Linked DNA regions of Mus musculus: regions 2, 3, 4, 5, 6 and 7 are each reported to be linked to region 1. Evidence: microRNA targets listed by miRTarBase, many of them from high-throughput screens and not tested one by one. Region 1 holds a microRNA gene; each other region holds the end of a gene's coding sequence.

Region 1 (3,083 bases):
AAAAAGTGTTGATTTTTATTATTCAAAGGAAGGGGAATAATATCAGACTTGAAGAGAAAGTCCACTTGTGACATTCTTTTCAGCTCTGTGTTCACTACCTACCTATAGTAAATTCAGGCTTGAGTATTCAGGCTCAAATTCGGATTAAACTATTCATTAAGCAGTGCAGTTTTGATTTCTAAACTAAAACCCATAGGTAACATAAAAATCAAGCGACTGGATTATAAGTGCCTGTAAAAAGAAAAACAACAACAACAACAACAAACAGTGCTTAGGGCCTTTAAAAAGATCATACAAGTGAATGATGGGCTGACCTTGTGGACCACAGAATGCCAGTTGAGACTGCTGGCTTTGTCCTGAATTAGCCAGAGGATGGTGGTTTTACAACTTTATGGAAGCTTTGAAACCAGAACAAGCAGAAATAGTGGTGAGTAGGGCTCAGATGTCCTGGCCTAGAGCACGAGATATGTGTATCTCTTTCGTTGATTTCTGTCCAGCAAGTCTGATATAAATTGAGCTGTTCTTATTTTTAGCTCTAGACAAACCTAGAGATTTTTAGTACAGTCTAAAAGTCATCTCCTTGGGCTGGGGCATAGCTCAATGGTAGAATACCTGTCTAGCTTGTGTAAAGCTCTAGGTTTAATCCCAGACACTGGGACTAGGGGATAGGAGAGGATCATGTCCTTTTACTTGAAGGATAACAGCCAAAAGAACTAGATTCTTCCTAGGCCAGTTTTTAACTTTGTTTTTCTTTGTTACAGAGGAATGATATTGCCATGGCAATTACAAAATTTGATCAGTTCGACTTTCTCATCGATATTGTTCCAAGAGATGAACTGAAACCTCCAAAGCGCCAGGTGAGCTGGGAGGATTTGCTCAGCTGCCACCTCCAGGGCCTGGGCAAGATGCTCTCCGGAGCTCCTCCCTCCCTCCCACCCAAAGCATTTCTTGTTTGTGGTTCTCTTCCGTAGTCCAGATCATCCTCAGCATCTCCTTCTACTCATTTATGGGTACTTTTAACTCAGTGCCTCTGGGGTGGGGTTGCAGTGAGAGAACAAAGTTAAAAAGACTAGTCACAGATAGTGGGGTGAAGCTCAGTTCAGGATTTCTTCATCTAAAATAAAAGCTTTTTCAGCCAGTCAGTTTTCAGATTCTAAGAAACAACCTCTTTGTGCATAGTGATCAGATTGGAGCCAGTGGCTTTTATTTTCTTACTCTATGCTGTGTCTCTGTAGTGTGATGACTCTACCCATCATCCACTGAGTCAGAACCTATGACCCCATGACCCCAGGAATCAATAATTAAAGTTCCCTAGATGCTTTGGTGTCCAGTGAAGTTTTAGAACCACCATTTACATTTTTCTTTTTAATTACAAGAACTAAGTGTCTGCCCTTCTTCTGCCTGTTCATCTCCAAAGATCACACCATTTGTTTTGTTCAGCACTTGGGTGCATATAACTTAGTTGTGATTGTGATAGACCCCAGTCCTATAGAGCTCATTGTTTCAGGCACGCAGTTTGCATGATTCACTAGGTTTAGTGTAATATGCCTCAGAGAAGTAAAGCCATACCATGTCCTGCTTGTTTTATTTTTGTTCATAAAATATAAGTGTTTTTAACTAATTATTTTGTAGTATACTGTTTAGAGTCATTTAATGACAACCATTCTCCCCATGTTGACCTGTACAAATAACCAGTCAGAAAACCTGTTGGAGAAGTGGGCATCCTAATTGACATTAATTCTGACCCTGCATGAGGGTTTTTGGGTTAGCAAGCCCTGGGTCACCTCCTTATGGGAGCAGGTTGTGCCTCACTGAAGCTCTTTATTTTTCTGGGCAGTCTTTGCTACTGTAAACATCCTTGACTGGAAGCTGTAAGGTGTTGAGAGGAGCTTTCAGTCGGATGTTTACAGCGGCAGGCTGCCACAGTCGTCCCCGGCTGCGCTCATCGGCTTTGAGACATTGCAGGTTTGTGCCCATGAACTTGTCTCCTTTTCTTGGGTTACTTCCTTTCTCTCTGAGAAGTCACAAGAACTCAGACTGTCTCTCTTCGTTTGGAGCTGATAATACCATGAGCCTGTTTTCCTTATTGGATTTTTGCTCCCATGTATCCACCAGGAGTTTCCTTTAAAGACAAGGTGGTAAGATCTGTGATGCAGTCAGGCATTGCTCTTATTGTACTGATTGTTCACTATGGGCTGCCTGCTGAATAGATGACTAAAGAGAAAGTTATTATCCTATACCAGTGGTTCTCAGCCTTCCTAATGCTGCACCATTTAATACAGTTCCTCATGTTGTAATAACCTCCCAACAATAAAATTTTTTTCATTGCTATTTCATAACTGTAATTTGCTACTGTTATGAATTTTAATGCAACTATCTGTTTTTCAGTAGTCTTAGGTGATCCATGTGAAAGGATCTTTCCATCCCACAAAGGGGTCACAACCCACAGGTTGAGAGCTGCTGACCTATACCTTCCTCCAAAGTTGTTTGTTCTTCTGGGTCTGTCAGGGTGTTAGATTTGCTGGTGGTCTACCCCATCTCCCTCTTTTGTTCTTTGGTTTGGTTTGGATTTTTGAGATAGGCTCTCCCTGTGTATCCCTGGCTAGACTAGACTGTGTAGACCAGGTTGTTCTGGAACTCGGAGAGATCTATCTGCTTCTGCCTCCTGAGTGCTGGGATTCAAGGCATGGACCACTATACTTAGTCCATCTCCCTTTAAAAGGTATACAGCAAGAACACTCCTTTAGCTGCCTGGTTTTAGTTCTTTGTAGGTGTTTGAGCTATTGATTGGCATCCTATTCAGGACAGCTGCTGCCTGGCATTTAAAAGGTTGAGATTGCTGAAAGCTGGCCTGAAATTCTAAGATAGCATTTTTTAATTCTCTGTAGACATGAAGTTTTCCCAAGCTCCAAATTGGCTGGCACCTCCTAAAGTCCTTTAAAAGTGCCTACTCTCCAAAACACACCCTCTGAAGGAGGCAGCAGTTCACCCTGCCACTAAAGCAAATGTATTTTTTCCCCTAGTCTGGAGCTGGCTGCTCATCAGTGTAGTGATGACCCTGTGCTGTGATACTGTTTGTTCAC
Region 2 (3,083 bases), not on the chromosome of region 1:
AAACCAGCTGATACAAGTATTTCCATCTGAAGCAAGCATGTAACTGACTAAAGTAAGCTCACATTCCTGAACCATTAAAAAAGCCTCGTGGGAGCTAAAACACTAACTGAAGCTTCTAGTTAGACTATATAAGGAAAAAGACAACTACTCACTCTTATTTTGTCAGAATTGACCTTCATGACTGAAATGAGGGCCTCACATGAAATAATGGCTTCACATTTACAGTTAGATCAAAGAACCAAGCTTGACAGATACAATGCACACAGTGATATGCTGTATGCTTAAGCAAAAGACTGCTTTTAAATGCATGTTAAATGTCCCTCCCAAAAGATGGCAAATAAGAAGTAATAACTACCTAGGTGAATCACTGTATGGATATATATTTTGTAAACAAAATTGCCCACTGAAAAAGCTTTTAAAGCAAGCAGGCATTTATCTTTAATCCCAAAACGTTTGAAAAGACAGGTGGATATCAGATTTTATAGCCAGCCTGTTCTAGAGTTGTGTTAGACCATGTCTCAAAAATAAAACAAACTACTCAACACTTCTGCTCTGGCTACCTTTAAACTGCTGGCAATCCTTTGCCTCAGGACTTTGTGTTGGGATTAGAAATGATAACCACCAGGAGAAGCTAACACACAAAATATACAGCTTCTCAATAGATGGACTTTTAAGAAAAGCCATGACTAATGAAACCTGAAGACAGTTAATCCTTAAAACATTAAGTATGAATATCTACTCATCATTTTTGAGATATTCTTAAATTCTTTTTCATTAGCAATGAAAAAAACTTCTATGGGAACATGAACCTGCTGTCCAAGTCTAATCAGAGATCAGAATTATAAAAGATGTAGTCAGTTGGTATACAGCACAAAAGTGTGCAATGCAGTGTGTTCAATGTGATTTACAACCCCATTTTACCATCAAGAAAGAACTTTAATATTGCCTACTAGTTTTGTAGAACTATTAATTTTTAAAAAACAAACATTTCTGATGATTGCTTCTAATCAAAGTATTTGGTGGTTAAGGACTTGGAAGAGAGCAGACATTATACAATGTGCAACTAACTACCTGATGGAATAAAATACCTCAGTGGGGTCACCAAAACAGAAAGTTGTGAAAGTGAGGTGGAGACTCGTGAGGAAAATGGGCAGGTGGACAAGAGGGAGGGAGAGGGATGAATAGAATGTATCTTATAAATGTATAAAATTACTAATAGGAAATGAATGACACGACCTAACATCACCAAATACTCTTTCAGACCCATCACTCCTCCATTTAATGACTGCAGTCTTTAATGCTGACATTGGTAAACAGAATTTACGTGTATAGGAAGATATGCCAAAGTTATACAATACTGAAGCTCCTGTGTTCTCTGCAGCCTTACTTAAAACACAAACCCATGTACTGACTTTGTAACTCTTAAGTTCAATACTGTAAAAAAGAAAACTGCCAAAATTCAGTCCCAAAGTTTAGACAGTCAATTCATACAGACCGAACTTCAGGTTCAAATCAAGAAATTAAATGCAAAAAGGAAAAAAGAAACCACTTTTATCAGCTTCTTGTTATGTGGTTAGAGGATTGTTACAAAGAAGGATTGCCAGAAATGTGAAAAAACAGTCTAAGAAAAGAGAAAACTATATTTAAAAAAATTCAAACACAGAAGATGAAAAAAAAAACCCTAAAATATGGATCCAAAATATCAGATGTATAAATACAAACTAAATTACCAACATAATGCCACTCCATGGGATTTTATATAGGAGAGAATATATTGTCATACTTATGCAATCAGACAAGGAAATACAGCAAGTTAGTGTCAATCTTTATCAATTTATTTCATACAAAACAGTAGCAATGTAGAATGTGGGGTTATCTTCTGCTGCCACACACGCGAAACTGTGAACATTCCAAGCCAGTGTACAGTTTAAAAGGGAGGCTAAACAATAGCATTAACCATGCTACTGAACACAGGAACTTTTTATTTAAAAAGATTAAAAATTAGATAGCAACGTCTTCTTAATATTGCTCTCATCATTGAAGACTTAAAAGTGACTTTATAGGTTTAAAAAAAAGGAGGAAAGAGGAAAAACCGAGAGGCTGCTACAACACTGCCATATAGTCAAACCATCATACTTCCATATTTGCATACTTGATAGCAGCAGTATTTTTACTGAACCGTGAGCAGCTACCTATAGAAACACAAAGCGAAATTCTATGGCAGTTATTGACCAAGGTCCAAAAGGAGAACAAACAAACAAAATAACTCTAGGATGAATACACTGTAAAAAGAACATTTATGGAGAATGAATCAATATCTACATTCTTGGACTGTTCCATTCTGCCCCAATAAAAGAGTCAACCCAACTGTCAACTGTGCATTTTTTTGGCGGATCTGAGTTTTCCAGTTCTTATTCTACTGCATGCTTGGAACAAAGGTGATAATAAATCCTTCTACACAATGAGCTTTAAGTCGACAGCTGAAAATAAATTTACTACTTGTAAACACACACAAAAAAAATACAATATTTTCTTTATCTTCAGTCAGTGCTTCCAAAAGCACATTATCTTCGATAACGACCTCTCTCCCCTCGGTCTCTGTCCCGATCACATATTCTTTCTCTCTCTCTTTCTCGATCACGACCTCTGTCTCGCTCTCTATCTCTTCTGTTATCTCTGGGGCGGTCTCGCTCTCGCTCCCGATCTCTTTCTCGAGGTCTACTTCTCCGACCACTGACCACAGCTTGCGTGCGGCGAAGGAAATCATCGACCCTCATATCATAGTCATGCTAGGAAAAAGGAGAAAACAGATCAGCAAAGCAAAACTTTATATGAAAGTTAAAAACCCTTTTATCAGTTGTCTGGTAAAGAAGAAATCAGAAAACGCAACCATGAAGTCATGGATGGAACTTAATGGTGATATACACTACCAGCACTAACTAGAGCACCATGTATTCCTGTAATTTCCTATTCCACTTGTAGAGACTTTCCATTTGATTCCTTAGTAAGATATAATAAACAACTCAGTCATAACTATCCTTGTTCACTCACTCCATCCCTACAACCTATATACTAGCAAATAC
Region 3 (3,083 bases), not on the chromosome of region 1:
GTGAAGGATGCAGGGGGGGGGAGGCAGAGGAGAGACCTAGAAGGCTGATACTTTTCTCTGGGTTTTAAAGGAAAGGCAGAGAGGCCCATGTCCCTGGCAGAGGTTACTTGAGAGAGTAGAGTCTGGTGCTGAGCCGGCTTTTAGGCTTCTGGGTCACACTGGTTCTAAGAAAGCAGTCCTTCCTCCTACCTCCATCTGACCAGCTTTGAAATGGAAGGACCCACTCAGACCTGGAGATACCAAGGCAGGGGAAGGGCTGGCTGTGGCTTTCCTGGCTTTTGCTTGGGGTTAGGAACACAGAGGAGCAAGCAATGTCATAGTCTCAGTTTTATGAACAGCATCTGTCAGCTAAAGGGGGGTGGGGGTGGGCTGCACCCTCAGGTTGAGTGAGCATGGGTCAGCCTTTGTCTGAAGAGATGGTCATTCTCCATGCCCAAAGACATTACAGAACACCCCTGCCCAACCTACCCCTCTTAGGATGGTTACTAAGAGGGACCCTAAGATAGGTGAGGCTGTCTGTATCCTCCCTCCCACCCTCCTTCCCTTGCTTTATTTTATTTTACTTTATTTTTGAGAGAAGTAGAATCTATGTTATTATAGCTGGTCTCAAACTCATCTAGACTAGTCCAGGCAAGTCTGGAGTTGACTCTACAGCCCAGGCTAGCTTCAAGCTCACTATATAGGTTGGATTCATGGCAATCCCCCTGCCTTCGCCTCTCAAGTACTGGGATTCCGGTTGTACATTGACTGTCACACCTGGCTTCTAACTCAGGTTTACTCATTTTGGGGAATAAGCTCTGAGGATTCTATGAAAGAGATGTGGGTCTCCTGGGCTACCCCAAAGGTCAGGTCCTGGATAGAATCCCCGAGGAAAACCAGATGTTTTTAGTCTCTGCTTTCAGCTCACTGGAAGGATCTGGCTTTCCTTTGTGGTTGGTGGGAGATGTGGAGATAAGTCTAGGGTCTTTTACTTGTCAGGCAAGTACTTTACACTGAGCTACATCCCCAGCCTGAGGGAACTGTTCTAACTAAGCCCTCCAAAAGGATGCAAAACCAAGAACCGTTTTTTTACAGTCTTGGGGCACACAAAGGCAGTCTGGGATCAGGAAGAGAAACAAAGGAGACAGTCATTCTCCAAGGGCCACTTGGTGTGGGTGGACTCTGGAGTCGGGGACAAGTGAGAAAGGCCTTGGCCTTCTTGGCTCAACTCCAACATTTCTGATAAGAAACCCAACTCCAGCCTTCTGTCTGGGAAGGAAGTCAGGGGTCACCCTCGTCATCCCCCTGCCTTTGTATGGTCTCTGCTCCTGCCTGGGCCACATCTCCTGAGCCTAGGTTTCTTGCCTAGGGAGAGGTTTAAACTGAATTGTCTTTTGCAAAGGTCTCTTAACCTTTTTTTATACCCAGAGATAAAACCATACCCTTGACTATGTACCACATCAGTCTAGACTTTTCCTCAGAGAAAAGGCCTTAGGCTAAGGAGACTGGGCCTTCTCACCTGGAGAGCAAGGTAACCCTCCTTGTAGAGACTCAGACTTCCAGGGAGGTCTGACTCATCTTTCACCTTCGGGTGCTTTCCAGCACATTCTCCTGGTAGCTCCACTCAGCAGAACTGAGGGACCTTGGCTCTGATGGCACAGTTCCCAGGTTGCCAGGCAGTCCAGGAGCTCTGATGGCAGTTACCAGGCAGTCAGGGGACACACAAGTGGCCCCTGAAATCTGATGAAACTTGTGACCAGCACCCACCACTCTCCCTTTTCATTTATGGCGCCGATGAGACTCAAGTGTTTTAACAAACATGTTTATTAGAAAAGTAAAAATATTGCATAGGTCTTAATACTTGAACATCAAGTGTATTCATGAACCGCGAGTAACTTCATGTAAACAGGTTCTAGATGGAAGACCCAGGTGGCACTCCTCTGGGAAAAGAGGGTTCCAGCCCCCCACCCCCACCCCAGCCCCTCTCCTCACAGTTGAATCCTCCAGTACATGGGCACCGGGATGGGCTGGCTGCAGCTCCCAGGTGTAATTTTGTTTCAAGTGTCGAAGATCCCGAATGATCCTAACACCCACCCCATTCCTACTCTTACATTCATGCAGTCTGTAAGATAGCTGCCTCGAACAGGTCAGTAGTGAAGCGCCGATCCCCACCCCCCAAAACCAAGATACAAAACAAATGACAAAACACACTAGGTCCTTTCAGACCAGAAGATACACAAACTGTCGGCCACCTCCCCCTGCCTCCCCCCCAGCCCCCAACCCCCAGCCGGGGCAGAGGCCAGTGCAGACCAGCTGCCCTTCTGGCTCTGGCCCACAACTGCTGTTGTAACTTGTCAGTAATAAAAAAAAATAAGGTACATGCTACATACACATCCAGCCAGAAGCCTGTGTGACTCCTAAGCCTTTGTTTCATGCTACAGTACTGAGGGGCGTGTGCCCCAACAGGGAGCCACCTGCATACAACCTAGAGACTTCCTGGAGAACACTTCCTTCCCCCACCTGGCCCTGCGCCCCTCAGGTGGCTATCGTCAGTTTTCTAACACAGGGGACAGTCCTTCAGTCCTTGCCTGCGGGTCTCCACCACAGAAATTCCTTGTCTTCACTTTGGGGGGCAGTGAGAAACCCTCCCCGCACCCCACCCCAGGATGTAGTTCAACACTCTTCAATGAGCAGCTGCTCGGAGCTGTAGAGTTTCTTCTTGATGACTCTGAAGCCGGTACTTAGCGTCAGGGACTGGCTGTAACCAGGGACCAAGGAAGAGTTGGCAGAACTTAACAGCCCCTGGATCTTGGGCCAGAGGCGAGAGTCCAGACGCAGCACCAGGGTCAACTGAAAGGTGGGCACCAGGCTGGGGTCGAGGGCCAGCTGAGCCACGCTATGGCAGCTCTTGCCTTGCTCCACACACACGTCCAGCAGTGCCCCCCGCAGGCCGCACGGCTCACTGTATGCCAGGCGCAGGAGTTCCTTGCCCACCTGGCTCACCAGCTGGCTCGGCATGAGCAAACGCGCAGGGCGCCGCGAGCCCAATCGCGCCTGGGACAGGCTCTCCTGCAGCAGCTGCATCAGGTTGGCACACAGGTGCT
Region 4 (3,083 bases), not on the chromosome of region 1:
ACCTGTCGTCAGGCATGCAGACAACACAGTAGCAGAGGGCTGACAGCTGTACACCACCCCACCCCCACCCCCTTGCTGGCGATCCCTCGGATCACGTGACTCTTCTCCTTTCTGTAGGTGTGTGTTGGGAAACACTACCATCCTGGCCGAGTTTGCCACTGAGGATGAAGTCAGCCGCTTTCTGGCTCAAGCTCAGCCCCCTACGCCTGCAGCCACCCCGAGTGCACCTGCCACAGGGTGGCAGTCCCTGGAGACCAGCCAGAACCAAGCAGACCCCGTTGGACCTGCGCTGAACCTTTTCGGTGGGTCCACCGGGCTCGGGCAGTGGAGCAGCAGCGCTGGTGGCAGCAGTGGGGCCGATCTTGCCGGCACTTCCTTGTGGGGCCCCCCAAACTATTCTTCTAGCTTGTGGGGAGTCCCGACGGTGGAAGATCCCCATAGGATGGGCAGCCCTGCTCCTTTACTACCTGGTGACCTTCTGGGAGGAGGGTCGGATTCAATCTGAACTTAAACTTTCAACTCTGACCTCGTGACCTTTTTTGGAACAGCAGCAGCACTAACTTGACCTTTTCGTTTTTTTTTTCAACTTGCAATAAATACATTTTTAAAAGGAAAAAAGAAAACGGAGAGAGAAAAAAGGTGGGTCATTGACAGACTGTCTGAGCACATAGTTGCCTCCCTTAAAACTTCAGTTTTTTCGTTTGGAATATGAATCCAAAAAGAGAACATATCACTCTTGAAATACTTGAATCATGAACGCCAACCTAGAAAGACAATGTGAAGCAAGTACACATACCATTTAAATTTAAACACAAAAAAATTAAAAAAATTAGTTTCTAGTTTTTCACTTTTTTCATGTTATATGGAAGTTGTTGCTAAGAAACATATATACTGAAAAAATAGCTTTTTAACTTTGTTTGCACTGGGTGTGTTTCCGTCCTTAGGTCTACCATGTTTGGGTGGGAGGGAAATTCAAAAGAATTGTTGGGGGAGGGGGGAGGGAAGACTTGACGGAGCCTCACTTTAAAAACAAAAACAAAAAAACTTAAAAAAAAAAAAAAGGTAAAATTTTGTGATTGGCTGGTTGATAAATACCAGTGTGTTCTGGCACATGTAACTGCCCAGGCATGCTCGTTCTGGTATGTGTGTGCACGTGTGTTCATGTGCATTTGCGTGCATCCTCCTCTCTGTCTCTCTTCGTGTGCCTGCGTCCTGCCCTCCTCGTCCTGCCTCGCCCCGCCCCACCCCCACCCTGATTTCTCAGAAAGCTGCATTGCTGACAGTTCCAAAGGCTGGCTGGCCGGCCATCCGCTTTTCATTATTTCTGACTATGAGAACACAGGAGCACAGGGAGCCGCTGCAACTCAAGCCACTTCTTCTGGCTGCCTCGAGATGAAGGGTGCTTTTCAGTGACAGAGCAGCAGCCAGAATGCGGGGGGGGGGGGGGGGGGGGGGGGGCGGGGAGGTCCCCAGCTTCTGTCGACCCAGCTGCAGAGCAGAGCACTGCCAAGGCCAGAGGTGTGACAGAAGGCCCCTCCCTCCAAGAAGCTGCTGCTCACCTCTGTGCTGTGAAGTAAGCAGCTGCCTGCCCGGCAGCAGGAGTCTAAGGACTGAGCTGGCCAGTTGGCTACTTTGAGTGAGAACAGACGATTCAATAATTTTTAAATCGTGTGATGTTTTAAAAGCTGAAAAACAGTTCCCACTTTGCTGTGCTCGTCGGGTGTGAGAATTTTTTGAAAGGATTCAGGTAATGCAAATTCAATTACTTCTATCAGTTCTCATTATCATGTGAGGAAGACAGTAAGTTATGAGCAGCCTCCTGGAAGCATCGCAGCGCCTCCCTCTCTGCTCCCCTCTCTCTCTCTCTCGCTGAGCATTACCTGTGCCAGGCCGTGGCGTGTTACAGCACCAGGCCATCACTGACAGAAACGTTTACTTAACGAATGTTCTTAAACCAGTGTGTACTTCAAGTGTCTCCCTTTGTTTCTCTGTGTTGTTTCCTGTGTATGTGGTTTTGCTTAGGCAGAAATAACTTAGCAAAGTATTGCACCTTGTTTTGGTTTTGACCTCTTTTTTTTTTTTTTCTTTCCTTGTAATGTTGGTTTTTTTATTTTGGTATTTAAAGACTTTTTTAAAAAAACATCAATGTAGTAGTTCTCTGGGCCGAACAGGAGGCAATGTTTAATCCACAGTTATCACCAATACGTATGTACTATGTTGGAATCAAAATATATCAAATTTCTTATTGTGAAGAGAGTGAAAGTAAACCCGAAGGGGATCCTCACGTGCTAAATAGATGGCGGGCGGGCGGGCGGGCGGGCGGGCGGGCGGGCGTGATGTGTGCGGGGAACATGCTAGCACTTGTGTGATATCCCAGTCTGCATCGTACTGTCTGTTCAACATGAAGTGCCGACATTCTGTACCAGCAATTACCTGCCCATTCCAACCCCTGACGGGAGCAGACCTCTGCTGTCCTCTGTGACTTGCTGCTATTGAGGACAAGGGAGTTTTTCTTTCTTTAGCATCTTCAGTGAAGGATACAACAATGCCTAATGTATTTAACTTTCAGCTTGTGTCTTTGGTGTAGGTGGGTAGAGGGGTATGGATAGGAAAAAGCAAACAGACAAACAAAAAACCCAAAATTGCATGTAAGTGGCTTTGTAAGACAGTGAGTGGGAAATTCTGTAGTCGTCTTGGCTTACCTTGTTGGGTATAAACCTAGCTTCAGAGGAGGCTGACGGGGCACCATTCCCATGAGCACCTGTGCTTAACAATCTGGGCGCCCTTGGCAGGTGGGTAGGCAAATGAGCGTGCAGTTCTGGTTTGTTCCTGCAACACCTTGTTCTCATGGACTCTGCCTTCCTCCTGCTCTCTGGTTTCCATCACCACCACCCCCTCTCACCTCTGCCCTGCAAAATGTCTCCTTCCAGCCCCACTGACTCTCAGTGTTGGAGCAGAGCTCTGTCGCAGGTGATGACGTCCAGGTGAAGCGCCGCTTATATTCAGACATCTGCAGACTGAAGGCTGAACTTTAGTGTCCCCAGACTCCTGGGAGCCTGTGGGGACTGTCCACTGCCGCTCTT
Region 5 (3,083 bases), not on the chromosome of region 1:
ATACAGGTGTACATTTGAGAAATGTATTCAGAACAACAAACAAGTATGTACATTGTATATATTCGTCATCTAAATAACTCAAGAGAAAGCAGAACATTCTCAGAGGACAGCTACCGATGGAGGCATTATGCAAACTGTTAGTGATCATCTGCACTGCGTGCCAATTGCAACAAAATGAAATCTGTAGTAGTATGTTTATTGCACTTCATGTTTTCAAATTCAAAATTAAGACATATTAATAAATGCAAGATACTTAAAATTAAATCAATTAGTTAACATATACAGAAAATTAGTTTTAATCCTATAATATAAAAGATCCCTTTTTAATTTCCTGTAACAATAAACAGGTATTTTTATTATGCAGCACATATTTGTCTGTACCATTAAGTAGTTGAAAAATTATTTTAAACAGGCCAAAACTCTTTTCACATTTATCACAGCCACACTGTAGTGAAGTAGCAGCTCATTCCTTGGGCTTTGAGTAAGTAAAGAATATGATGATAAAAGTATTACAAACTCAGGAATCCTATAAGGACTAGCGAGTTTTTAAGAAACTATAGACCTTTCCAGCAAAGCTGAGTTTTGAGAATATTAGGTGCACAAGCCATTCACTTATTAAAGACTAGAATTTCTAAGTAATGACAGATTTCAAATAGAACTATGAAAAGTTCCATGTTCAAGAAAACATCCCAAAACATTATCTACCTGCTATACATATTATTCTGAGCCACAATCAAAAAATAATGTACAATGGCCCGTAGCTTTCCCAGATTCTAAATTCTAACAGAAATCTACTCACTGAATTTCAACAGAATACAACAGAGCAATTCCACTAACAAATGGGTTACAAGGACATCAAAAACAAAACAAAAACCCCCAAAATCTCCACATCTATAAAAAAACCCTTTGGCACCAAGTCATCCATGGGAGACCCAGGTACTAACTGGAACCAACAAACAGAACCAAGGCCAACTGTAGATACCCTAAATTTGGGGTTTATGTTCCATTAAAACATTCTATTTATTCTTTTCTAGTTGGAATTCTCTTGAACACACATAAAGAGCAAGATAAATGTAACCAGACACATAAATTCAAGATTCTGAAGACTATAAACCACAGAAATTTTTCATTAATTACTGAAAAATTTAAATAGCAAGAATGGATATGTTATAATAAAATTATTCAGTAACCGAACACGTGGGTAGGATTTTTTTTGGGGGGGGGTATGTTTTTCTTTCTTTCTTTCTTTCTTCCTTCCTTTCTTCTTTTCTTTCTTTTTTCCTTTCTTTCTCTCTTTTTTTTTTTTGAGCTAAACAATTTAGAATTAGTCAATGAAAACAGAAACCAACTTTAATTCTAGCATTATGTATATCTTAGCCCACACAAGCAGAGAGTAAGCTCTAATTCAGTATTCAAGTAAACTGAGGTAGTAGAGTATATTGAAAACATGATCTACCCACCTTTTTATTTACATTACTTACAAGAGTTTGGTTCCTTATTAGCCTTTCTTACAAGCAACAATCTGCACTATATACAAAGACAATGACAGATAAGGGGAAAGCTTTGAAAAGCAATCAACATTTGAAAGAAAGGAACACTTAAAGAAAGAACAGTTTTTAAAGATATTACTTCTACTAGTGTAAATTGAGGATTGTTAGGAAATATTCTGCTCATATGGGTTTATAATGGTCGATACTGAAGTTTGTGGCCACCTGAGCATATTTAAAAAATACAGTATTTTTGCCATTGCTTTGGTGCACTTTTTAATCTTAATTTTTATTTATTAAATTAATATGTAAATATTGATAAGAATTAGCTTATTCTTAGAAAACAAATGGTAAAAAGTAGTATCCTTAGGGAATCTAGAACCTTGAGCCTCAAAAAGATTGGCTTAAATACATTTTAGAATGCGTGAAACAGAAAAATCATCAGAAGGTAGTATTTCAACATTATATACAATACTAGATGAAAAAATATTTTTTTAAAAAGGCATTTTTATCAATATTGTATTTCTACCCCTGCTTTTTTAAAAAAATAGATACATATGTACACTTGGGATGGGCACATGACATCTTCACTCATTCTGAGTTTCTCATAATTAACAGTTGTTTTTAATAAAAAAAATACTTAAATAACTAGAAATAAGTTGATCTGAATTGCAAAACAACAAACAAATCAAGGTCTTGTAGATTTCTGTACCATAGAATTAAAAATTAAAAATCAGTGAATTGAAGATTTCTGACATTTGATCATGAGACAACTATTGCTATTCATGAGTTGTGACATTTTATAGAGTTTGTATGAAATTCCTGTATATTCACAGAAAATTCTAAGTTACACTTTGGCTTTTGCAAATTCCACCCCTCTACATACCCCCAATTATTTTGATTTAGTTTCACTTAGTTGAAAAATCTACCACTGCTCAGATGTCCAGTTAAAAATAAAAAGTCATTTGGTCTACACAGACCGCAGCGCAGGGTGATGCGTTCACCTAAAGCGTAATGCACAAAACAAACATCACAGAACAGCAACAGCTCCACAGATACAGCGCCTGTCTCCTTGGTTTCTATTCAACTTTAAACAAAGTTAGCCTCTAGACATGTTAAAGGAGTATCTGAGCAACGTATGGAGAGTGGGTGCTTGCTACCGCAGCCAGAAGAGGAAGGTCACTGGATTCAATCCTGAAATAAAGAAAAGACAACTCAGTTGAGGCTTTCTGTATCCAAACTATGAATCTTAGAGGCAATAGTCACTCCTCCATGGCCAGTGAACCTCAGCACTATGGTGCTTATCCTAGACAAAAGCAAAAGGGCAAGGAGCTAAAGATAACAACACCTGGAAAATTTCACCAACAGTAGCACCACAGACTCAAAGGAATGGATGCTTCTAAATGCAAAGCAGCCAGGGAACAGACACAGGAAAGCACCACAGTTGACCTGTTATTCATCTAGGGACGGATGTGCAAGAAATACAATTTACTAGTAATAAAATAATAGTCTGTGTAAGCTTTTAACCAAAAGTTTCTATAATATATGCTACAAGTAATGGAAATGTCTTGAAAATACATCATTCCACAATGATTC
Region 6 (3,083 bases), not on the chromosome of region 1:
GGACAGCCCCACATCCATCACCCCACCCCCTATCCTGAGCGCCGATGACCTCTTGGGCTCACCTACTCTGCCCGATGGCACCAATAACCCCTTCGCCTTTTCCAGCCAGGAGCTGGCGAGCCTCTTTGCTCCTAGCATGGGGCTGCCTGGGGGAGGCTCCCCCACCACTTTCCTCTTCCGGCCCATGTCCGAATCCCCTCACATGTTTGACTCTCCCCCCAGCCCTCAGGATTCTCTCTCGGACCACGAGGGCTATCTGAGCAGCTCCAGCTCCAGCCACAGTGGCTCAGACTCCCCTACCTTGGACAACTCAAGACGCCTGCCCATTTTCAGCAGACTCTCCATCTCAGATGACTAAGCCAGGGTAGGGAGGGACCCCCCCCCATGCCTCCTTCACCTCTCCACCCCATCTCTTCCCTTCACCTCCCCACCCCCTAACTTTCCCTCAAACCCCACATTGATACATTTAAGCTCAGCCCCTTTCCCAGAACAACCTTGGTATGTTACCCTCCCCCCACATAAGGACAAGTCAATTTGTTGGTAGCTTCTGGCTTGAAACCCTCTCCCTCCATTTCATAGCCCACTTAACCACGCATAACAGAGTTCCATCTTTTGTCAGTAGATGCCTTTTTTTACCCCCCCCCACCCCCCCCGGCTTAAGCCTTAAGTGCCAAATCACAAAAGAAAAAAAGCAGTAACCGTTTACAGAAGCAACTTAGTGCCTTGTAATCTAACTTTGTCACTGTGACTACATTACCTCTTCAACGCCAGGGGGCACCCGTGGGCCTCCCAGAGCCTCTGCCCGTGGGGTTGGGGGTGGGGGTGGGGTGACCCGCAACCAGCAGCTCCCCCAGCTGGCCACACAAGTGCACCTTTCTTTCGGTCTCCCGCACACTCTTCCTCTTCCTTATAGTTACTCACCTCCCTCAGAGAGTTGTTGCTGGACTTGGGGTTTTTTTGGGGGGAGGGGTCTATTTTGACTTTCAAAACCTTTTACTTCCCAGCCCGAACCCCTGTTGACTAATCTTGCCTGGGTTTGTGTAGGTCTCCAGGGACAAAGGTTGAACAAGTTGGACGAAGGTTTTGACATAAGTGGGACTTCGTGATTTAATTTCTTTCTTTCTTTTCTTTTTTTTTTAAGTGGGGAGGAAGGGGAAACTAGATGGACTATGAGAGACTTGATTTTGGTGCTAAAGTTCCCCAATTCATATGTGACATCTTAAAAATGACAACAAATGAGAGAAAAGCTAAAAACAACAAAAAAAAACATGTAAGGGGTGAGCAGTTAATGGTCTGCATTCCACATACAATATCTGTGTAAAACGATTTCCTGTAGAAGTAGCTTTAATGGATTTTGCTCTAGAATACCTTAGGTCTACCTTAGAGCCCCCACACAATGCTTTTTTCCCTGGGTTTAAACTTCATCTAACTTTCAGAAATTGGAGAGCAAAAATGTTGCTTATCACTGCACATCAATATAAAAAAGCTTATTTAACTTATCAAAACGTATTTATTGCCAAACTATGCTTTTTTTGTTAATTTTGTTCATATTTATCGGGATGACAAATCCATAGAATATATTCTTTTATGTTAAATTATGATCTTCATATTAATCTTAAAATTTTGTGACGTGTCTTTCCTTTTTTCCACAGTTTTAATATATTATTCTTCAACAACATTTTTGTAACTTTACACTTTTTTTGGTTATTTTATTTTAAAAAAATGAAAAATTAATTTAAAAAAATGCAAAAAACTGTTGGATTATTTATTTTAGAAATTCTCCCCTTTGTGTTGGACTGCAAATTGAGTTTCTTTCTCCTTAGGCCTTTCACAGGTAGGACTGAGAATGTATGTATAAGTTCTGTGACAGTACAGAAGGAAAACCACCATTTTATGTATAGCTTCTAAAAGGGAAAACAAAAAAAGAGAAAAACCCTTTGAATTCCATGTGCCCATCTCAAGACATTCCGCTCGCAGATTTGTGGTTCTGGATTCCAGGTTGGAGTTTTCCAATGTTGACATAAACAACTGGCGCACACACATAAAGATGAATGTAATTATTATTCCTCTTGCTGGTCACTACCGTCGCTTTCTATTTCTCTTTCTTTGTGTGAATTTATTTAAAAGAAAAAAAAAACTTTTTGTAACGACTATTTGCAGTTTAAAAATCAATAAACCCCGTTTTTCAAGAAATGATTTGTCTATAGGTTTTTCCTTGGTCTGACACTCCTTGGGGCAACGAGGTGGCTGGTCTTTCATCTTTAAAGCTAAACCCATAACTCTGGATGTTGATGCCTTAAGGTCACTCAGCTTGGGTGGGGCGGAGGTATTTTTTATTTTTATTTATTTTATTTATTTTTTTTTTTTTTTTTAGCAAAGGAGCCTGCAGAGAGCAGGTCCAGGGTATCCTTGCTGACCTGTGTGACCTTGGCTACTGTAGGGAGCTGTGACAGGATCATCCAGTCTTCCCACTATGAACTTCCTTTGGGGGATGGTCAGGGTGCTACTGATAAAGTACATAGCCCATGCTGCACTTGCTGGCTTACATTGACTGTGTCAAGGGCTCATAGGTATTGGTCTCATAGGCATTAACCTAGTCAAGGTCCTAGCCTCAGTACACCCCTGAACCGGTATGAGGAAGCACTGCCTGCCTGCAGAGGAGCCACCAGGATGGGAAAGGGCAGTCTGCACCTGGATTTGACTGCAGGGCTGGAAAGGGAAGATGGAGGTTAACATAGACTGTATAGGAAGTCAGTAGTTCCCATCAAGGGAGGTGGTAGGCCAGTTGTGGCGCAAGAGTTGCTGGAGGAGGCTGAGGCAGGAGGATCCTGAGACAGACAGCCAGGATCAGGGAGCCCCTGGAAAGTGATTTTTTTCCCCCTCTCTCTTTGGAATTTTGGATTTTTCAGTTTCTCTGCAGCCCTGGCTGTCCTGGAACTTTCTCTGTAGACCAGGCTGGCCTCAAACTTAAGAGATCCACTTGCCTCTGCCTACTGAGTGCTGGGGTTAAAGGCATGTGTCACCAGGACCCTGCTGGAAAGTGATTCTTTTAAAGGAGTAGGGTCTGGGAGAATTGAGTCCTG
Region 7 (3,083 bases), not on the chromosome of region 1:
CTCAGAAGAATATATATATATGATAGGCTCACACACACATATACCACCCCACATACATTTCCCTAAGTATATTTTCTTTTAAAATTGTGAGCAAGAACCAGTGACAACCTTTTACTATTCAGCGTGACAATCACTCTCTCGCAATTTCTTGGTAGTTGTTAAGGGTTTCACAATGTGGTTTACTACAAATCAGATGGGAATAATTGCTCAAAAACCTCAAATCACATTATCTCTAAATTTTCATTTGTCCATCTTTATTCTTAACAAAGACTGATACCAGGTTTTAACTGTTCTGTAAAGTCTTGGGTTTCTTAATGAACCAAAGTAAACCCAGTTTTCTATCTTCTAAATATTTTACATCTTATATGTAAATTTAATTCAAAATTACTGTCTAGCAACTTGAAAAGGGAAAATTCATTATGTGCAGTATATTTTAAGTATGGAAAAGATTAATTCCTGTTCCCTAGCCCAGTCTTTCTCACGGGTAGTAATGCAGGTCAACAAATACAAGACACACTGCTTATTTCTAAACCCTGACTCCCTGGCCTGTGGACTCTGTACCTCTAAGGTGTGACCTGGGGCTATGTCCATGTTACCAGCTCCTCAGTTTCACTGAGGATAACCGGAGCACCTACTGCTAGGTTTCTGCTGGATAATTTGCAGTAAAGGTTTGCCTCAAAAGTCTTGAACTTATTTACTAAAGAGACTGTTAGATTAAAATATTTAGCTGTGTTCTACCCATTACTCTGAAAACCAGAAAATGCATTAGCATCAGTCTCCTGAGTGCTGACTGAGGAATGGCCTCTGGTCTTTTATGAGACTGCCTGGCTGACATCAGGCTGCCAACACAGACTACAAATCTACAGTCACTGACACTTCAGTCCAGAAGAACCCTCCATAATGGAGTCTTCTTGCCAGAAACTCTTCTTGCCAGTGGGGCCTCGTGCTTATGAGACTGAGTTCTCATCGAGAGGCCAACGTGATATATTTATTCCCTAGCAGGTTACTTTTCTTCACATTAAGTCTGAGGATGATCATAAAATGAAGACACAAAAGCCACATTTAGTAGGCCAAAGCTTAGTGAAAAGAAATTTGTAGGGCCTTTCATGTGCTTGCAGATGAGTTTGGTCTTTCCCTCAGAGTCCCTTGTCAGCTAAAGCTGCCTCTGAAGGCTTAGGCAGGAGTACTTTGAGTTAAAGGCCAACAAGGACTACACAGCAAATACCTCCCCTCTACCCTCCAAGATCAACAATAACAACAAAGCCAAAAATTTATAATAAAAACAGGAGTCCAATGGAGTATTTGGTTGGAATAAATTTATTTCATCTGTCTGTAAACAAGGTGTTTAATAGTTATGGCATTTTTTTAAATGCATATTAAGTCAGATGAGTTAGACTGTATCCCAGATGTAACAAAGTGCAGGGAAAGAAATGGACAAATCAGCAACAAGATTTGTTTTTAAATCTGTACATTATCCACAATGCCCAAACAATAGAAGCAATACTAGAATGTCCCTAAGGTAGTGCCATTCGAAAGGAAATCCATCTCACAATAGCAACAGTTCATTTTAACAATAGTATGGCACAGGATACATATGAAAAAAATACATCACAAGACAGCCAAGTCCACAATAATGCAACTTCATATAAAAACCTAAGCTGCAAATAAAAATTGGTCCTATGAAAAATAAACTGGACACACTCCAGATGGTTATGTTGGGATACCTAATATCCATAATGGCAGCCTTTACATTTTCTCAAGAGCACAGCTGGTGTGCAAGAAAAGACAGGTCTGAGCTACTGCAATGACAGAATGTCCCTGGGAATTTGATCGGTATGGTTACTGCAGTAAGGTCGTGGGAGGAAGTGCCTTTGCTCTCCAAGCTGCACGCTTCATGTCCTATAGACACTACAAATAGTCTGTCCCAAGTGCAGTCACTGTATTAAAAAGTAAAACACTGCAACTCTCAATAGCTCATCAACAGAGGAGGTATTAATTAGTTAAATAAACCAGGCACTACACAGAAGAGAATGGAAGCAGACCAAACACCTCGTGTTGGTAGGGAGGGGTGAGAAAGGTGTGACGTACAGAGGCATGCACTTTTTCCTCCCAACCATGCGCTACAAAAGGAAGACTAGATGAGCCAAGGAAATGCTCCAAAGTGCTGAAAAGACACTGATCGAGTTAGAGACTGTACACCGGCACCTTGCTTACTATTAACCTATTTTAGTAATCAGTAATCCACTAACTGCTAAGACGAAGTGATGCCCAACTTGGCATGCCCCCTTCCCCCAGTTTCAAGATATCATGCAAATCATTATTGTGCTGCAATTATGATGCCAGATAAAGGTTGGTTACAGACCTCTTCAGGTATAAAGCGAGTTCATATGTTTTCTTGTTAATTGTGCCTGCGTGGACACCTTCCTTTCCCATGACTATAACCAATGCTGGAGTACACAAGGAAACAAAACAAAAATGAACACAATTATTTAAGGGGAAGGGGCAGAAAGAAAGACACCTTTCCCCACCAACAGAGGGATACAAAGGAGACTTAAGCTTACAGCTAGGAAAATTTAAGAGCAATTTTCCCCTAATACTTAACAGTCTGCCTAGCAGCTAGAACCCAGAGTCTCTCAAGTATTTTGCCATTGAGTATGCCTTCTTATTCAATCCGCCTCCATGGACCCCTTCTTTTCCCATTACAAAGACCAAGACTGAAAGAAAAAGGAGAAAAGTGTTTCAAAAGGAGTGTTAATCAAGAAATCACGTAAGTTTAAGCAGATAGATTAATAAATTAACATTAAGTTAGTTTCCATGAACTGTTAAACACTGAAATCCATTATGTCTCCAGAATGGAGAGCCTTCAGGCTAGTAAATAAACTAAAAACAGCACACTACTGGATGCATGTAGGAAACCCCACTGTACAGCAGCTAATTTCCATAAAGGGATCTTTATGAGAGCTAGGAGGAAAGTGACAGTTTACCTTGCATCCTAGGAGAAACAGTCTGGCTGATATCATGCTATTCATCTCCTACAACATACTTTAAAAACTTTCATATTTTTCATTTACAAACTCTCCCCA

The links. Region 1 holds the annotated microRNA mmu-miR-30e-5p (UGUAAACAUCCUUGACUGGAAG, at 1,848-1,869, shown strand). A microRNA usually pairs through its seed, bases 2 to 8, with sites in the 3' UTR of a target mRNA and lowers its output. Matches are read on the target gene's strand: a 7mer-m8 pairs with bases 2 to 8, a 7mer-A1 pairs with bases 2 to 7 and ends in A, and an 8mer does both.
Region 2: miRTarBase lists Ythdc1 as a target of mmu-miR-30e-5p. Seed matches in the 3' UTR shown: 8mer at 2,501-2,508.
Region 3: miRTarBase lists Ddit4 as a target of mmu-miR-30e-5p. Seed matches in the 3' UTR shown: 8mer at 1,880-1,887.
Region 4: the mRNA of Tnrc6b is a reported target of mmu-miR-30e-5p. The part of its 3' UTR that is shown has no 7-base or 8-base seed match.
Region 5: the mRNA of Fnip1 is a reported target of mmu-miR-30e-5p. The part of its 3' UTR that is shown has no 7-base or 8-base seed match.
Region 6: the mRNA of Zfp36l1 is a reported target of mmu-miR-30e-5p. Seed matches in the 3' UTR shown: 7mer-A1 at 701-707.
Region 7: the mRNA of Pfn2 is a reported target of mmu-miR-30e-5p. Seed matches in the 3' UTR shown: 8mer at 1,332-1,339.

What each region holds. Positions count from the first base shown.
Region 1 is chr4:120,771,446-120,774,528 of GRCm38, reverse strand. It overlaps Mir30e (microRNA 30e), which reads left to right and starts at 1,832; the gene lies at 1,832-1,923. It overlaps Nfyc (nuclear transcription factor-Y gamma), which reads left to right. Exons shown (of 10, transcript NM_008692.4): 5 at 762-857. It overlaps Mir30f (microRNA 30f), which reads right to left and starts at 1,923; the gene lies at 1,832-1,923.
Region 2 is chr5:86,835,390-86,838,472 of GRCm38, reverse strand. Ythdc1 (YTH domain containing 1) reads right to left here. Exons shown (of 17, transcript NM_001347375.1): 17 at 1,814-2,789. The coding sequence ends at 2,565. Among named protein-coding and RNA genes, the nearest start is that of Ythdc1, 33 kb to the right of the region's middle.
Region 3 is chr10:59,947,884-59,950,966 of GRCm38, forward strand. Ddit4 (DNA-damage-inducible transcript 4) reads right to left here. Exons shown (of 3, transcript NM_029083.2): 3 at 1,792-3,083. The coding sequence ends at 2,653. Among named protein-coding and RNA genes, the nearest start is that of Ddit4, 2.3 kb to the right of the region's middle.
Region 4 is chr15:80,928,972-80,932,054 of GRCm38, forward strand. Tnrc6b (trinucleotide repeat containing 6b) reads left to right here. Exons shown (of 25, transcript NM_144812.3): 25 at 118-3,083. The coding sequence ends at 505. Among named protein-coding and RNA genes, the nearest start is that of Mir5113, 9.5 kb to the right of the region's middle.
Region 5 is chr11:54,515,096-54,518,178 of GRCm38, reverse strand. Fnip1 (folliculin interacting protein 1) reads right to left here. Exons shown (of 18, transcript NM_173753.4): 18 at 1-2,681. The coding sequence ends at 2,603. Among named protein-coding and RNA genes, the nearest start is that of Rapgef6, 6.2 kb to the left of the region's middle.
Region 6 is chr12:80,106,864-80,109,946 of GRCm38, reverse strand. Zfp36l1 (zinc finger protein 36, C3H type-like 1) reads left to right here. Exons shown (of 2, transcript NM_007564.5): 2 at 1-2,187. The coding sequence ends at 358. Among named protein-coding and RNA genes, the nearest start is that of Zfp36l1, 4.6 kb to the left of the region's middle.
Region 7 is chr3:57,840,601-57,843,683 of GRCm38, forward strand. Pfn2 (profilin 2) reads right to left here. Exons shown (of 3, transcript NM_019410.3): 3 at 1,295-2,714. The coding sequence ends at 2,617. Among named protein-coding and RNA genes, the nearest start is that of Pfn2, 5.6 kb to the right of the region's middle.